2 linked regions of the Drosophila melanogaster genome follow. The protein of the gene in region 1 interacts with the protein of each later gene in a pairwise test. Each region holds a gene or a part of one and is shown on either strand. Other genes may lie near its edges.

Region 1 (6,889 bases):
TACTCAAAGATCCCCCTGAAGAAACCCCTGCCAAGCAGTTAAAGTCGGACTCAACGCACATTGAGGCCGATGCTGCTGCTGCTGCTACTGCCGCAGATGCCGCATGTTGCACATGTGTTGAGTGCATGCAACATGCAGCATCAACCGTACGGCGCACAGCATCGGGGTACATGGTCATGCGCAAATCGCCGGGCGGCGTTTATTGAATTAAGACTGTCGACGACTGTTTGCAGTTGGCAGTTGTCGCACCCAGTGGAAGCGTTAAAAGTCACAAGGACACTGCAAACGGGAATCAGAATGGAAATGGAAATGGAAATGGGAATGGTAATGGGAGTGGAAGTGAGAAAGGGATCTTCGGATATACACACATGGATCGTTTGCTGCTGGGTTCGGTTCTCAAAATGCAACATTGTGGCGCCGCCGAGAGGCGAGGGCCATAAAACGGGTAACTTGGTCGCGCTGCACTTGGTATCGGTTATGCGTGATTTTTACAGAATCCATTCACTCGACGGGGCGGAGCAATATCTGCGGCATCTGGCATTCGCATATTACTCGGAAAGTCACGTTAAAGTTGCGTCCACTTAACTGCAACTGCAATATGGGCATTCCTTAAGATTTCACCTCCCTTAATGTCCTTTTGTCTGTGTTTTAACTATCACTCCAGTTATTAAATCGCAACTTACAGTAAACAAGAAAATCTTTTAATATATTTTCTTATTGATTTAAATGCCATATGGTAATGGCTAATCACTAAAATTCTCGCTATTGGAAATATTTTTATTATGTATAAATAGACGCAAAATCATTTCCTATATGGGTTAGAACTATAGATGGCTGGAAAGTAGCCACAGCTTTTATTTGCCTCCCAGATGTGGACTAATCACATACAACGTTCCCAATTTTCCTGCTTTTATAAAAGTCGATTTTTGTAATAAACTCTATTGGGATCAAGTTGGGGTACATGTATCCCTACTTTATTATCTTTTCGCCTACATAACCTGCATAATAGAGCGTGTTTAAGGTAAATAATATCTCGCTTAACGCAACAATAGACAGGGTCTGGGTCACAGGGCTTTGGATCCCACTTGGCTGGCTGGCGGTCCGATTCACAAATTAAGCCCCAACTTCAGCCATACAACTACTTTACCTCTGTCTGAATAGGCAATCATCAATCGAGCAGAAACAATGAATCGTTGGTTGCCGCACACCCTAGGATCCTACGGGTCCTACTCTTTGTCCCTTCCGATTCCTTCCTGTTTGTTTTGTGTACCCGCCAGCAGACGAATTACAGGATATGTTGTATGTTGTATCGCACAAAATTAGGTAACAAATGAAAAAAGGATTTACGCTTTATTTTTTCTGAATCAAGTTCAACATTCTAGTTTACGTTCACATCGGAGCTAAGAAGCTAAACAGCTGTCACAATTCCAAAGTTAATATAACCTATTAAAAATGAAATTAATTTTAATGATAGTTATATCATACTTCGCGTTTCTAAAAGGCGTAACCACAGCCAGTAAGTATGCCCCATCTTTTGTAACAGGGTATCGAGTATATACTTACCTTTTTTTCTACTGCCAAACGCAGGTCAACAAAGTTTTTATTAAGCTGCGTCGAAGGGGAAAACTAATGGTGGGTGGGTGTTTATAGAGAGGATCCAGTGGCAAGGACAAATAAATAAAATACACACAAAAAAAAAACCAGATAGTGGGCAAAGCGGGAGGGGAGAGGTCCTGGCAGGGCAGGGAGATACGGATACAAAGGAAAACGGAAACCAAAGCGATGTTTAGCAGGGGTGTAGTTAATGGGGGTGGTGAAGTGGGGGATAATTAACATTTATGGGAGGTTGCCAGAGCGGGACAACAAGCTCGGCGAGGGAACTAACTGTAACTGTTGCTGATTGATCAAGTGTGTGGGTGAGTGTGCGTGTGTGTGTGTCTGGCTGGGGCACAAACAAAAACCATATGTTTCTCGTTCGACTCCCGCACGCACTCACTCACAAACCGAATTACTCACTCACCCCCACCAGCCCCACACTCTAACCCCCCGCCACCTCTCGCTCACTCTTGCTTTCGTTGTGAGTAGGAACTCAAAGTCAGCGGCTGCGCACTCTCTCCGTCTCTCCCGCTCTCCGATTGCCCGGCAATGTATGTGTGCGATATTCTGTTACACAAAAAGGCAAAAACAAAAGGCACCGTTAGAAGGTGTGCGCGTGTGAGTGAGTTCACCACGAAACGAAAATCCTCACCGCCAGCCTACGTATACGTGTTCGTTGCTGGCTGTGCGTGTGTGTGTTAGTGTGCGACTGCGAGAGAGCCTGGCGCAGTGCAGCTGTGTGCGGGCGTATCTGTGTGTGCGTACTTGGCGTTACGACGTCAACGACGGCATATCCGTCAGTACGTTTGTACGCGTCCGCAGCGCCGCTTCTTCAGTTTTTCGGTTTTCGGGATTTCGAGATTTTGAGATTTCGATTCGATTCGATTTCGGCAGATCAGTTTGCGATCCGTTTGCGAGTTCGATATTTTCATTCCGAGCCAACGATCCAACGATCCGATTCCGCTAGCGATTCACAACAGATAGAGATCCTATATCGAACGCCGCGAGAAATTATGCTGGCCCGCTGCTCTCGCACTACGCGCAATAATTTATTTTTACTCCATATAAACAAATTCAACGTCTATTTCCAAAAATAAATGGCAACAATAATAAAAATAACAACAGCCGTCGGACAATTATAAGTTTTTATTTTTAACTTTTATTTGCGCCAACCGCGGCCGCGACATCCCCGCCCCCGCCTGCCCGGACTTTGTTTATATTTACAAAAAGCTAAAGCACACGACAAACACAACAGCAAACATATCACTGACTGCATTTCGCCCCGATGTTTATCGAACGAGCGGCGTAAACAAAGCCAGAATTCAAACAATAATTCAATTTGCATCTCAATTGCAAAGATTTTCGTGTGTGTGCTCGGAAACATTTGTGCAAACACCTCGCCAGCGACCTGACATCCCCAGAAAAGTTCAAAACTCGTCGGTTTCTATTGAGTAGTGTATTTTTGAGAACATTTTTTCGAGAAAACGGAAGCTCAGCTAAAAAGCGATTCATGTAAGTTTATCTACTGCAATGAGGAATGTTTTTGGTTTGAAAACTAGTTTTTAAAACCAAAGTACCTTTGCGAAATGGGTAGAAAGATTTTCATTCTTGTATTAAGAATAATTTTTCCTGTTTGTGATAACCATTTGACTTATATTTATGAGCGTCATAAAATCCAATTGAATGCCTCATTACATTATAAGTGATTTTCGGTTAGTCATACTTTTGAGACACATTGTTAAATTAATTATAAATTATGAATTATAAAACCTAATTTTGGTTATCATATCCACCTTTGCTCATTGAGCTATTATTCCGCCCAAAGGCTTAGTAATTATTTACAGATCATCGATGGGCTGTAAACCCCTCCTTTCATATGCCGATAGGGCAATTTGATTATATATAATTTACAATTACAAAAACACTGGCAGCCGGCATGTCGGGAACCAAATAAGCAAGTTACCCATGCACACTGACGTCATCGCTGAGCCAAACGTTGGGATTCCGAAGAAAAAAAAAAGAGATATCGGCCGGGTTTTCGAATTGTGCCTCGCTGTCTTGATTCCAGTTCAAACAGTTCCCTTTCAATTGATATCATTCGATGTTTCAATTTCTTTTCTTGCGATTTAATGCTGAGAGTAGCTGCCATACACTCGGACGGGCGAACACGCACACACAAATACTATATACGTTCCACTGATAAGCGATTTTCGTATCAATATTGAGGGCCCGCGAGAACCGTACTCCTCCGGCGAAGTTCAAATCCATTTCCCTGCTATCAAGTTCTTTTGCATGTAGTTTTTATGGCCGACCGACCGACCAACCGACTAACTGACTGATTGACTGGCTGGCTGGCTGGCTGGCTGATTGGCGAATTTGCTGATAATTGTCTGCACTTTGTTTCAGCCAGCAGCAAATGCACAGAGAATTATATTTTCTCTTATCTCGCCTCAGGCAGCTGGACATGCGTGCAATGCACTTTGACACCTACGCAGGATCATAAGGGGGGTCGCGTGGGAAGGGAGTAGGGGAATTTCGTTTCGATCCAGGGAGCAGTGGGTTCAAATAACAAACAAAGCCATTCGAAGGCGATAATCACCGCAGATTTGCCGTGGACTTAGCCACGGCGATCGCCGATAAACGATTACGGTCATTCGGCATTGCAGAGCCTAGATAACGGGACCCCACCTCCGATCACGTTCACGTTCGGACCATCATCACGACCATCATTAACCTCCGAGATCTTTAACACTATTTGGTGTAGTCACGTTTGGGTCGCGTTTGTATTTTAAGTGTTCCATCAATAGAGAAATTATAATATTATTTATTTATTTTCTTTTTTGTATTTTAAGTGTTCCATCAATAGAGAAATTATAATATTATTTATTTATTTTCTTTATTATTTCATTATTATTTATCTCATTCTATAACAATTTAGTTATTTCCAATACCTAAAGCTTCATAAGTTAAGCGAAAAAATAAATGTTTTAACTGTTTTTTTTTTTTGGATGCCTTTCAATTAGTTTTGAAATTCAAAAATGACACACGATTCTGAAAAACTGCAAGTAAAATAAAGAATACAATCCATGAAGGAAAACCCACAAACGACATCTTATCAGGTCAAAATAATTTGTTGGCAAATTTTCAACGAAAAATAGTTGAGTTACGTTTGTTGTTGGCGTTTTCGGTGCTTGATAAAAAATTCGAAATCAAAATTTGTTTTATTTGCTCGTGTTTTTTTTTTTTTGCGGCCACTATCTGCCATCGAGAGCGAGAGTCTTTCTTATCACACGTGCGCATGTGAAGGTGCCCACGCTCACTGACAAGCCAAATGAAGCACAATCTGGTCGATGTGTTGGTGTAGTTATTAAAAAAATAAATGTTCCTTTGCCATTTGCCGTGTTTGCGGCTCTCGAGTGTCTGTGATAATTATGGTTATTGCCGCCGCGCTCCCCCACATATATTGTATATAAAAATAAAAATAATAATAATTATTATTATTATAACGATTTCTTTCTGTTTGCGCCTGTGTTTTGGTTTAGCTCCCTCCCCCACACTCCGCCCGCTTTTGCGGCTGTGTAGGTGCTGGCGATAAGATAGAAGTGCTCTAGGTGTACTTCTAGGTGACTCGGGGCCCGAGAACTCAAATTTGTTCGACTACCTTAACATGAGACGCGTGTTTCGGGGCGAAAAACAAAAACCTTGGATTCTTTTGCTTTTGCTGGCATTTCTGCAATCGAAATTGTTGATAAACGCGGTGCAGGAAGAGAGCCAGATATCGCGGAGCCAATGCGATTGCTTGCAAAAATATTGGAAATCGAAGTTTGCCGATATTTCACTTGCTTCAAACAGGCACATTTTATCTCAAAAGCATTTATCATTTGCCTTTAGCATTTACCACGAGCGTCGTATTCACAAAGTGTGTGTAAGTTGTGGATAATATTTTATAATATATAAATAATATACTAAAAATAGATGTAAATGTTAATAAGATATGAGGTAGTTTGAATTGAAATGTAGATTTTATGACAAGTTCATTTTAGTTTCTCAACTCGTCAGTTTTTAAAATCTATTCTTCAAACGCAATCCTATCCTCATCTCTTCGTCCCCAATTGGTATTGATGGCTATCCCCAGCATCTTTGCTCGTAATTTACAGTTCTAAACTCAACTTCCGACCGCCCCCGAAGACTACAAAAAAAAGTTCCGCCTCATTGGCAGTACGCAATGAGTCGTTTTCATCGCGTCTTAAAACGCGCGCGCGTGTCTTTAATTAAGTCAAGATTTATAACCGGGGTCCCAGGAATGCGTTAACTGCGGCACATTAACAACAATAACAAAAGTCGGGGACATTGACGGATCTGATCTGGTTGATGAAAAGTGAAAGTGAGCTGCGACCAAGGAAGTCAAGACAGGCCGAAAAGAGCAGAGCTAGTGAATTAAGAAAAATTAACAAATATATATCTAGAACACTCACTGGTCAGGCCAACGTGCGTATAAACCCACGGAATGGTTATTATTTGAAATTGAGGTGATAAATTCGGAGTTTTTTAAACTTGAAATTTGGCCGGTCAGCAGCCATAAAAACGGAATTTATGAAAGGTCTCTCGTTCGCGATCTCTGTCGCTCTAATTGAGGCTGAAAGCTCCAGACGGTGAGAGATTGCATTCAGATCGGCTCATCTCATTGCGATCGCAACTGGTTTTTGAATCGGTACGGGGTTCATTCCTCCAAAATACGGAAAAGTTTAACATTTGCATAAATTTGGCCGCAACAAATGCTAATTGAGCGCAATCAAGGCGAGCAACAAGTTTTCGCCTTTTAATGCCTGCTCATCGGAGAAAAAGCCGCAGAGCGTGATTCACTAAATCAAATCGATAATGTCCCCGCCTTTGTTGGTCCAAACAATTAGGGAAAGCGCAAAAGTTGCTAAGCAGAAGGCTTCCCACCCAGTCCGGTCCAACAGAGAAATTGAGAGAAACTGCAAATCAGAGGAGCTGGGCAAAACACCCACGTTCTTGAGATTTGTTCTTGGCCATTTGCCTAATGATGCCGTCGCAGTCTTTGGGCCAATTAAATGGTGAAGCTGGCAAACGTGTGGCGGCAGTTTGCTTCGTTTTAATTGCCCGGCCACAAGACAAATGTCTTGACACACATCCACCAATGGAACAGACTCGGCACATCCTTCCTACCTTCCTGCCTTCCTTTCTTCCTTCATTCCATTCGTCCTGCTGGCATCCTGCTCAAGTGCCGCCTTTGCCGTTGACCCAGTGAAATGCAGCAACCGCAAATGGT
Region 2 (6,980 bases), on another chromosome or scaffold:
ATCGCTTGACGATGACTGCCGCTTGTGCAATGTAAAGTTTCGTCCACCACTAGCGACACAAAAGACACTAGAATAACTAGTGTAGAATATTCTAGAGTCTTTGACCGACACCCCTAGCAGTCACAGGAGAACAGGAACCCGAAAACGCTTTTTATTGGAAACGCTTGGGAACAAAAAATGATTATGCACTCAGACTAAAGAAGCCGTACATTCCTTATGAAACGTTGTATGTGAGTCCTTAGCTGAGAAGATAGTGAAACTAGTTTTTGGATTGACCAAAAAAAAAAAAAAGGAAACCTATATACATTTTGAGCTTGGATTGTTATACTCACTTCTCGTACATGAATGGTTAGGAGTATTTTTTAGCATTTAATATTATGTTTAGTTATTAGACCAACTTTTGCAAAATGTATTGTAAAGTGCAGAAAAGTTGAAATTGAAAAACATCAGGGCGGGGTGCAGCCTGTAAAAACAATTAAAGCGACATGAGAACATATTTACTGAAAGCGCTGTCCCTGCATCCAGTCTACAATATATCATTTTTGGCTGACGCAGCAGCTTCCCAGGCTTCTCTGTCGGATTGTTGATACGAGTATGTGTCGTCTGGATCTGGTGTCTGCGTCAAAAGCAAAAGCCTCGTGTGGCGGAGGTGGAAATCGATCCACCTAACAGGTAATGTTTGACAAGCCTTTCAGGAGCTCCCGAGCGCTCTAGCCTCATAGATTACATGAGCAATTTAATTGTGAAGCCATTTAATTCTGACGCGCACTTTTATGAAGATGCTTGGCAACATGCGGCAGATATCGAGGGATATTATATTTCATGTGTACCAATATGTACGTCCAAATACTGCAGCTACTTGTTACATACCTCACATTCTTTTCGGGTGGGGGATAAACCATACAATATACACGGATTTTGTCCACGAGCGACTGGAAATTCACCTTAAAGTAGTGGCTGCACTCTTCAGTGTTGGAAATTCGTGTGTGGTAAACGTTAACCATTGGACTGGCTAAATCTACATTGTCTGCCCCGGGTCCACAGCCAGATAAACGGACATCGGGAGAGGCGAAAGCGAGAAGTTTATAAAAATAACTGTAGCTCGTATCTGCCAGATACAGATACAGATATACACAGTGCACCTACCCCTTCCCCATCTCCGGCGGTCCTTCTGCCAGAAGTTTTCGCAATTTTCAGATGCATTAGACGCAGGGGGAGATAGTGGAGCGGAGCTGGGTGCCGGAGGTATGTATAAGCTGTGCTAATGTCTGTCAGCGGGTAACCGCACTCAGTGCCCCAACAGATACAAATTCGGTAGGTCCTGTGTGGAAGGGGTGCTGGCTGGCCACGATCAGAATATCTAGCTAGGAGTTTTGTGTTAGAGAGACTGCCATGAAGACGGGCATTGCTCTTGGTGTATCAGGCAGCGGCTGCTTTAAAACGCAACAGCGAAAATTATATGCACTGCAATTCCGCTGAAATGTTTTGGATCCTCGAGCACGGGAAGCACTTTTCCTTCGAGGCGCAGAGGACTGGGCGCTACATCTCCCGCTTCACTTTTATTTAAACACGCCAGGCAACTTTGTGCGGCAATTACCTACGTTATGTTGGTTTATAAATCTAAATTGAAAAACTTTTTATTTGGCACTTCGTGAAAGGAGAGATGCCTGTTTATGATTTCGCTTTGTCTTTCACCTCCAAATTCGAATTTAAAACTTTTCCTGGAAACCAACTCCCTGCTAGTTGTGAATAGATTTTTATGGGAAACTCCCAGTTCAGGTGCTTAACCCCTGACCATTTTAGGACACATATATTGGTCAAGAACAAAGTCGGCTCGGTCGCGGAATTATTTTTTGAAAATGCTTCGTATAAAGGCAAGAAGGGAAGCTAACTTTGGCAAGCCGATGCTTATATACCCTTGCAGTTACCTAATATTTTAAACCACTCACACCTTAGAGCATTCAAATAATAATTTTTTCCCCCAATTTATACCGATATTCCTGAAAATGTTGATAATTCTCGGTCCCACTTGGACTAGCTGAGTAACGGGTATCTGATAGTCGGGGAATTCGTTATAGCATTCTCTCTTTTTTTAAAACAGAGACTGGAAATTACTAGAACAATTTATTTCGTACGTTTATGGTTATGGTGTGTTATTTATTTCATACTAGTACATAATTATAAGCTTTAAGATGCCTGATTCTTAATTTAAAACACTATAAATCAACACTACTCTCACATATGAATTTCTCATGTGTGGTAACCCCTAAATCAAGTCCATTATTGCTTGTCACTTACAAACGGGAAACTTAATGGTCATACCTCTGGTTGTCTTAAGCCCCAACGCCCTGCGGCTTTGCAGCCAACGACCGCATATCTCTGACTGGCCATTGCGCCCAACTATTATCCACCCAATCCACCCTCCGCGACTCTCAAGGCTCAATAAATAACTTATCCTGCGCATATTAGATTGTTGTACTGAGGACTTTGTGACCACCCTCCAGTTACGTAAATCGAGTCAATTGACAGGTGTTTTTTAAATTGAATTTTTTACCATACGTAAAGAGCGCTTGTTCGTTGCAGTTTCCATTTGATTTTGATTCGGTTTGTCGAAAATAAACGATTTAAAATCTGGCTCTGGGAATAGTTTAGCTCCAGAGTGGTTTGCTGCCCAGTACTTACTGTTCAAACTTTACGCAGAATGAAGAGAAGAAGGTGTTTTCCATATGGCGACACTTTAAGGTTCCCACCCCGGTGGGCCGATAATTAGATTACTTATGTCCCGAGATGGGTAACTCTATGGACCTTATCAAGAGAAGGACACGCGTAGGGTATTAACGTAAATGGAAGGGCAGTTCATTGCTCTTTACGAGGCGGCGCCCTCTGCTTCATTGAGTCTTACTTCAGTACAAATTCGCCCGAATGTCCAAAACTCCAAAGCCCTTGACGTCCAAGCGTAGGACCTCGCCGGCAAGTCCTGGCTCCACGGTCCTGATTGAAAGCCCAACAACCTCGAGTGGCGTACGCAATCGCCGTTCCAAGATCAAGGGCGTCGACAGTAAGCCTAACCCACAGAGGACCATCAGCCACGTCAAGGACTCAAGGGCTGTTCCGCAAAATGTGAAGCCGGGCAAAGTAGCAGACATGAAGGATTGCAAAGAGCCGGATGAGGACAATGTGGATCAGGTGAGAGGTGATGAAAAATATGTTTTGACTATAGTGATGAGATATGACGGGGTTACTTTGCTATGTACGCGTATTTGTTCAGGGAATTCAAGTTCCTCGACCAATTCTCCCCATTCTCACTGGGACGTGTCTCCGCATAACTTGGGCATAACAATTTTAATACTTATTATTATTATGACGAAATTCATAATGCAAGGGGCAGAAACTCTTGTTCTTCTAAAGTATATATGTTTTGGAATCGCTTTAATTAATAAATAATTTGGGTGGGATTTGTGTACGATGTTTAAAAGGTTATATTGAACAAAATGTGAAAAAAGATTACATTATGTGGCTGATGTCTGCAATGCTACCTTTTTTAGGTGACTAATTCCTAATACAACTACTTTTTATAATAATTATTATTAAAGTAAAAAGACCTTCTCATAAGGCCATTTGTTATAATTTATCTATCACCTTTTCCGTCTTTTACCTTTTCAGGTATGTATGTAAAACTTGAGTTTCCTCTTAATTCTAAGCATCACACTTTTCACGTGTATACAACAACAAAGCAAAATGGAAACATTATTCAGGCTCTCAGGCTTAACTGTCGTAATTAAAATTCACACAAAAACTAATTAACACCACACAGATGAAAATCAAGAGAAGTTGCTAAATTCGAGTTCCCCGACTATCAGATACCCGTTACTCAACTAGTGGAAATGCGAACACGAAATTTCATCATATTTCTGAAGTATCGATAGATATTGGAGAATAAAAGAAAAAATTTAAAAATTGTTTAAAAGTGTGGGCGTGACCGTTTTGGGCGTTTTGTAGGTGTGAGAAGGGGCGTGGCCAAAGTGTTTTTGGTATACCGGTAGAACTTGGCAAGACTGTGGGCGTTGCAATATGGATCAACAAACTTAAATCTGTATGCCTAATCTAAACCATCCTGGTAAGATGAACATGGCCAGTTTGACTCAGCTATTGATCAGGAATATATATATACTATATATAGTCGAAAACGCTTCCTTCTGCTTGTTACATACTTTTCAACGAAGCTAGTATACCCTTTTACTTTACGAGTAACGGGTATAATCTTAAGGATCCAAGGATGCATAGCCAAAATTAAATAGTTAGAAAAATGTCGACAGTACTTCTACGATTACCAAGTCCATAAGTCTTTACACCAAAATAATGTAGCTAAAGTACTGGTGTATATTTGCAACGTCACCGACTATCTCTCTTCGAGTGCGGACGTCTGTGTCTTTCCAATTGTGTGAGCTTTGCTTATCGCGTAATTACCATCGCCGTTACATTGATATTTATCATCTTATCTTCTTGATCTTCTTATCAACGCGTACGTGCAAATCAAAAACATTCAATATCCATAAATTTATTAACCATGGCCCCCGGGCCACTCAATTTGGGGGATAATCGCTTTGCCAGTCTCAGCGTTAGCCCCAAAGCTAAGAAAAAAAGACCCTATCAAAAATTACAAGTTGATTTCCCAGACCTCCCTGAAACGCAGTGCAAAAATCCGAGATATTTAGTGGTCTCATCAAAAAACTCTCCGAAAACCATATCCGACTACAACTGCTTTGCTGTCCATAGAGCCCTTAAGTATATCAGCAAAGACATTACATCCATCTCTAATCTTCGGGATGGTAACCTTCTCTTGCTGGTTAACTCCAGGGAAATTAGTGACAAATTTATCAAAGTGACTTCTTTACCTGGCTTATGCGATATCGAGTGCAAGCTCCACAACACTCTTAACTTTGTCAAAGGCACCATTTACGCTCCCTGTCTTATTAACATTCCAGAAAACGAAATTGTTGAGGAACTAAAATCACAAAATGTACACAGCGTATTTAAATTTACCAAAATGATCGACGGCACCCCCAAACCTTTTGGAAAAGTTCTCGTAACGTTCGACCGTTTCACTCTTCCCAGTAAACTAACGGTTTCCTGGCACACAGTTAAGGTGTCAGAATATATACCCAACCCGATGAGATGTAAGTCTTGTCAATTATTAGGACACACATCAAAGCACTGCAAAAACCCACCTGCCTGTGTATCATGCAATCTCGCTCCCCACCTTCCCGTGCCATGCACTCGCATTTTCTGTGCAAACTGCACCGGCCAACATCCAGCCTCCTCACCCGAATGCCCACAATACCAAACACAAAAACAACTGCTCCACATCAAAACAAGCAAAAAATGCAGTTTCCATGAAGCTCGCACTATACTAAAACAACAACAAAACACAACAAATAACCCCACGCTTACCTACTCGACCGTCGCAAACCAAAGCACATCATCCGTGATGCTTGTCAAAAAATCCCGAAACCCTAACACGATTACAAACACCGACTTGCCCACCAGCTCGACAAAAGTACCAGCTCCGCTCTCACCAACGTATCCCACTTCTCGGACGAACTCTTTGAATCTCGAAGAGAATCTTACTTCCTCCCCAAGCACCTCTGACAAAACTGATTTCTCTTACCTAAAAAAAACATGCATCGAACGATCTCGCTCCCTTAGGGCGGAAGCAAACGCTCTATTAGGACAAACCTACAACGACGACAACAATACGTTAATGACCTCAAGATCCAACTCAAACGAATCAATTGCTTCACAAACCTCAAATCTACAAACAAAAATCAACACAACAGACTCAGACACTATGGACGATCCCGATTCCTAGTCCTGATCCTCTCACCCTTACCTTCATATACACACACCACAAATTAATAACAGTCCAACAAAAAACAATAAATAAAAAAAAAAAAATTTTTAATCATGACAATTACTATATTACAATGGAACATCCACGGCATTTTTAATAATTACAACGAACTGACACTACTCATAAAAGACCATGCACCCGATATTGTATTTTTGCAGGAAACCAACCTTCCATGTAATTCTACAAATTTTATTTGCCCCAAAGAATATAGTGGTTACTTCCACAATTTTTCTTATAACACCTCAGCCAAACAAGGCATTGGTGTTCTTATTAAAAGGAATGTCCCACATACATACCGTAACATTAACTCCAGCATACTCTGCTCCGCACTGCAGCTTAATTTTGAACAGGTCATTAATATTGTTAATGCGTACATCCCACCAAGTCAAATTTTTTCATCTTCTGACATATCAGAAATTCTTCAAAATCTTAACGGATCCACAATACTCCTGGGTGATCTTAACTCATGGAGTCCTTTATGGGGTTCACCTCGCACAAATACAAGGGGTAAAAAAATTGAAACCGTAATTCTTGAAAACAGCCTAATTGTTCTTAACGACGGTTCCCCGACTCACCTTTCAACTCACAATACGTTCACCCACATTGATATCTCACTGATATCTCCACAGATAGCCCATATGTGCAGCTGGTCTATATCAGATAATCTCCATGGAAGTGACCACTTTCCCATAACCATCCACATAAACACACCTACCCGTCCCGATAACACTTTACCCCTGCCTAAATACAAGACAGACCAAGCGAACTGGAAACGCTTTAACGAAAGTTGCGAAAAATCAGCAGCATATTGGACGGTCGGTTGCCTAAATCAGCAAGTCGCACAAATGACGAAAGTCATACGTTCAGCTGCAAACTATAGCATTCCCCAAACGAAAAGGGTGATCCACAAAGCCAAGGTGCCATGGTGGAACGCTAACCTTCAACAGCTTAGGGACCAAAAGCAACGCTTGTTCTCGTCCTACAAAGCCAATACGAATGATACAAACCTTATCCGATACAAAAAAGCAAACGCGCTTTTCAAAAAAGCTGTACTTTCGGCCAAGCGTAA

Evidence for each region.
Region 2: the proteins of Mef2 (region 1) and SPoCk interact in a two-hybrid assay, tested with the Drosophila melanogaster proteins (one large-scale study listed by BioGRID).

The regions. Positions count from the first base shown.
Region 1 is NT_033778.4:9,925,119-9,932,007, reverse strand, and holds the start of Mef2 (myocyte enhancer factor 2), read left to right. Parts: upstream 1-2,392; 5' UTR 2,393-3,108; intron 3,109-5,138; 5' UTR 5,139-5,521; intron 5,522-6,889. UniProt on the Drosophila melanogaster protein: Transcription factor that could be a key player in early mesoderm differentiation and may be required for subsequent cell fate specifications within the somatic and visceral/heart mesodermal layers.
Region 2 is NT_037436.4:22,757,055-22,764,034, forward strand, and holds the start of SPoCk (secretory pathway calcium atpase), read left to right. Parts: upstream 1-2,922; coding exon 2,923-3,186; intron 3,187-3,734; coding exon 3,735-3,755; intron 3,756-6,980.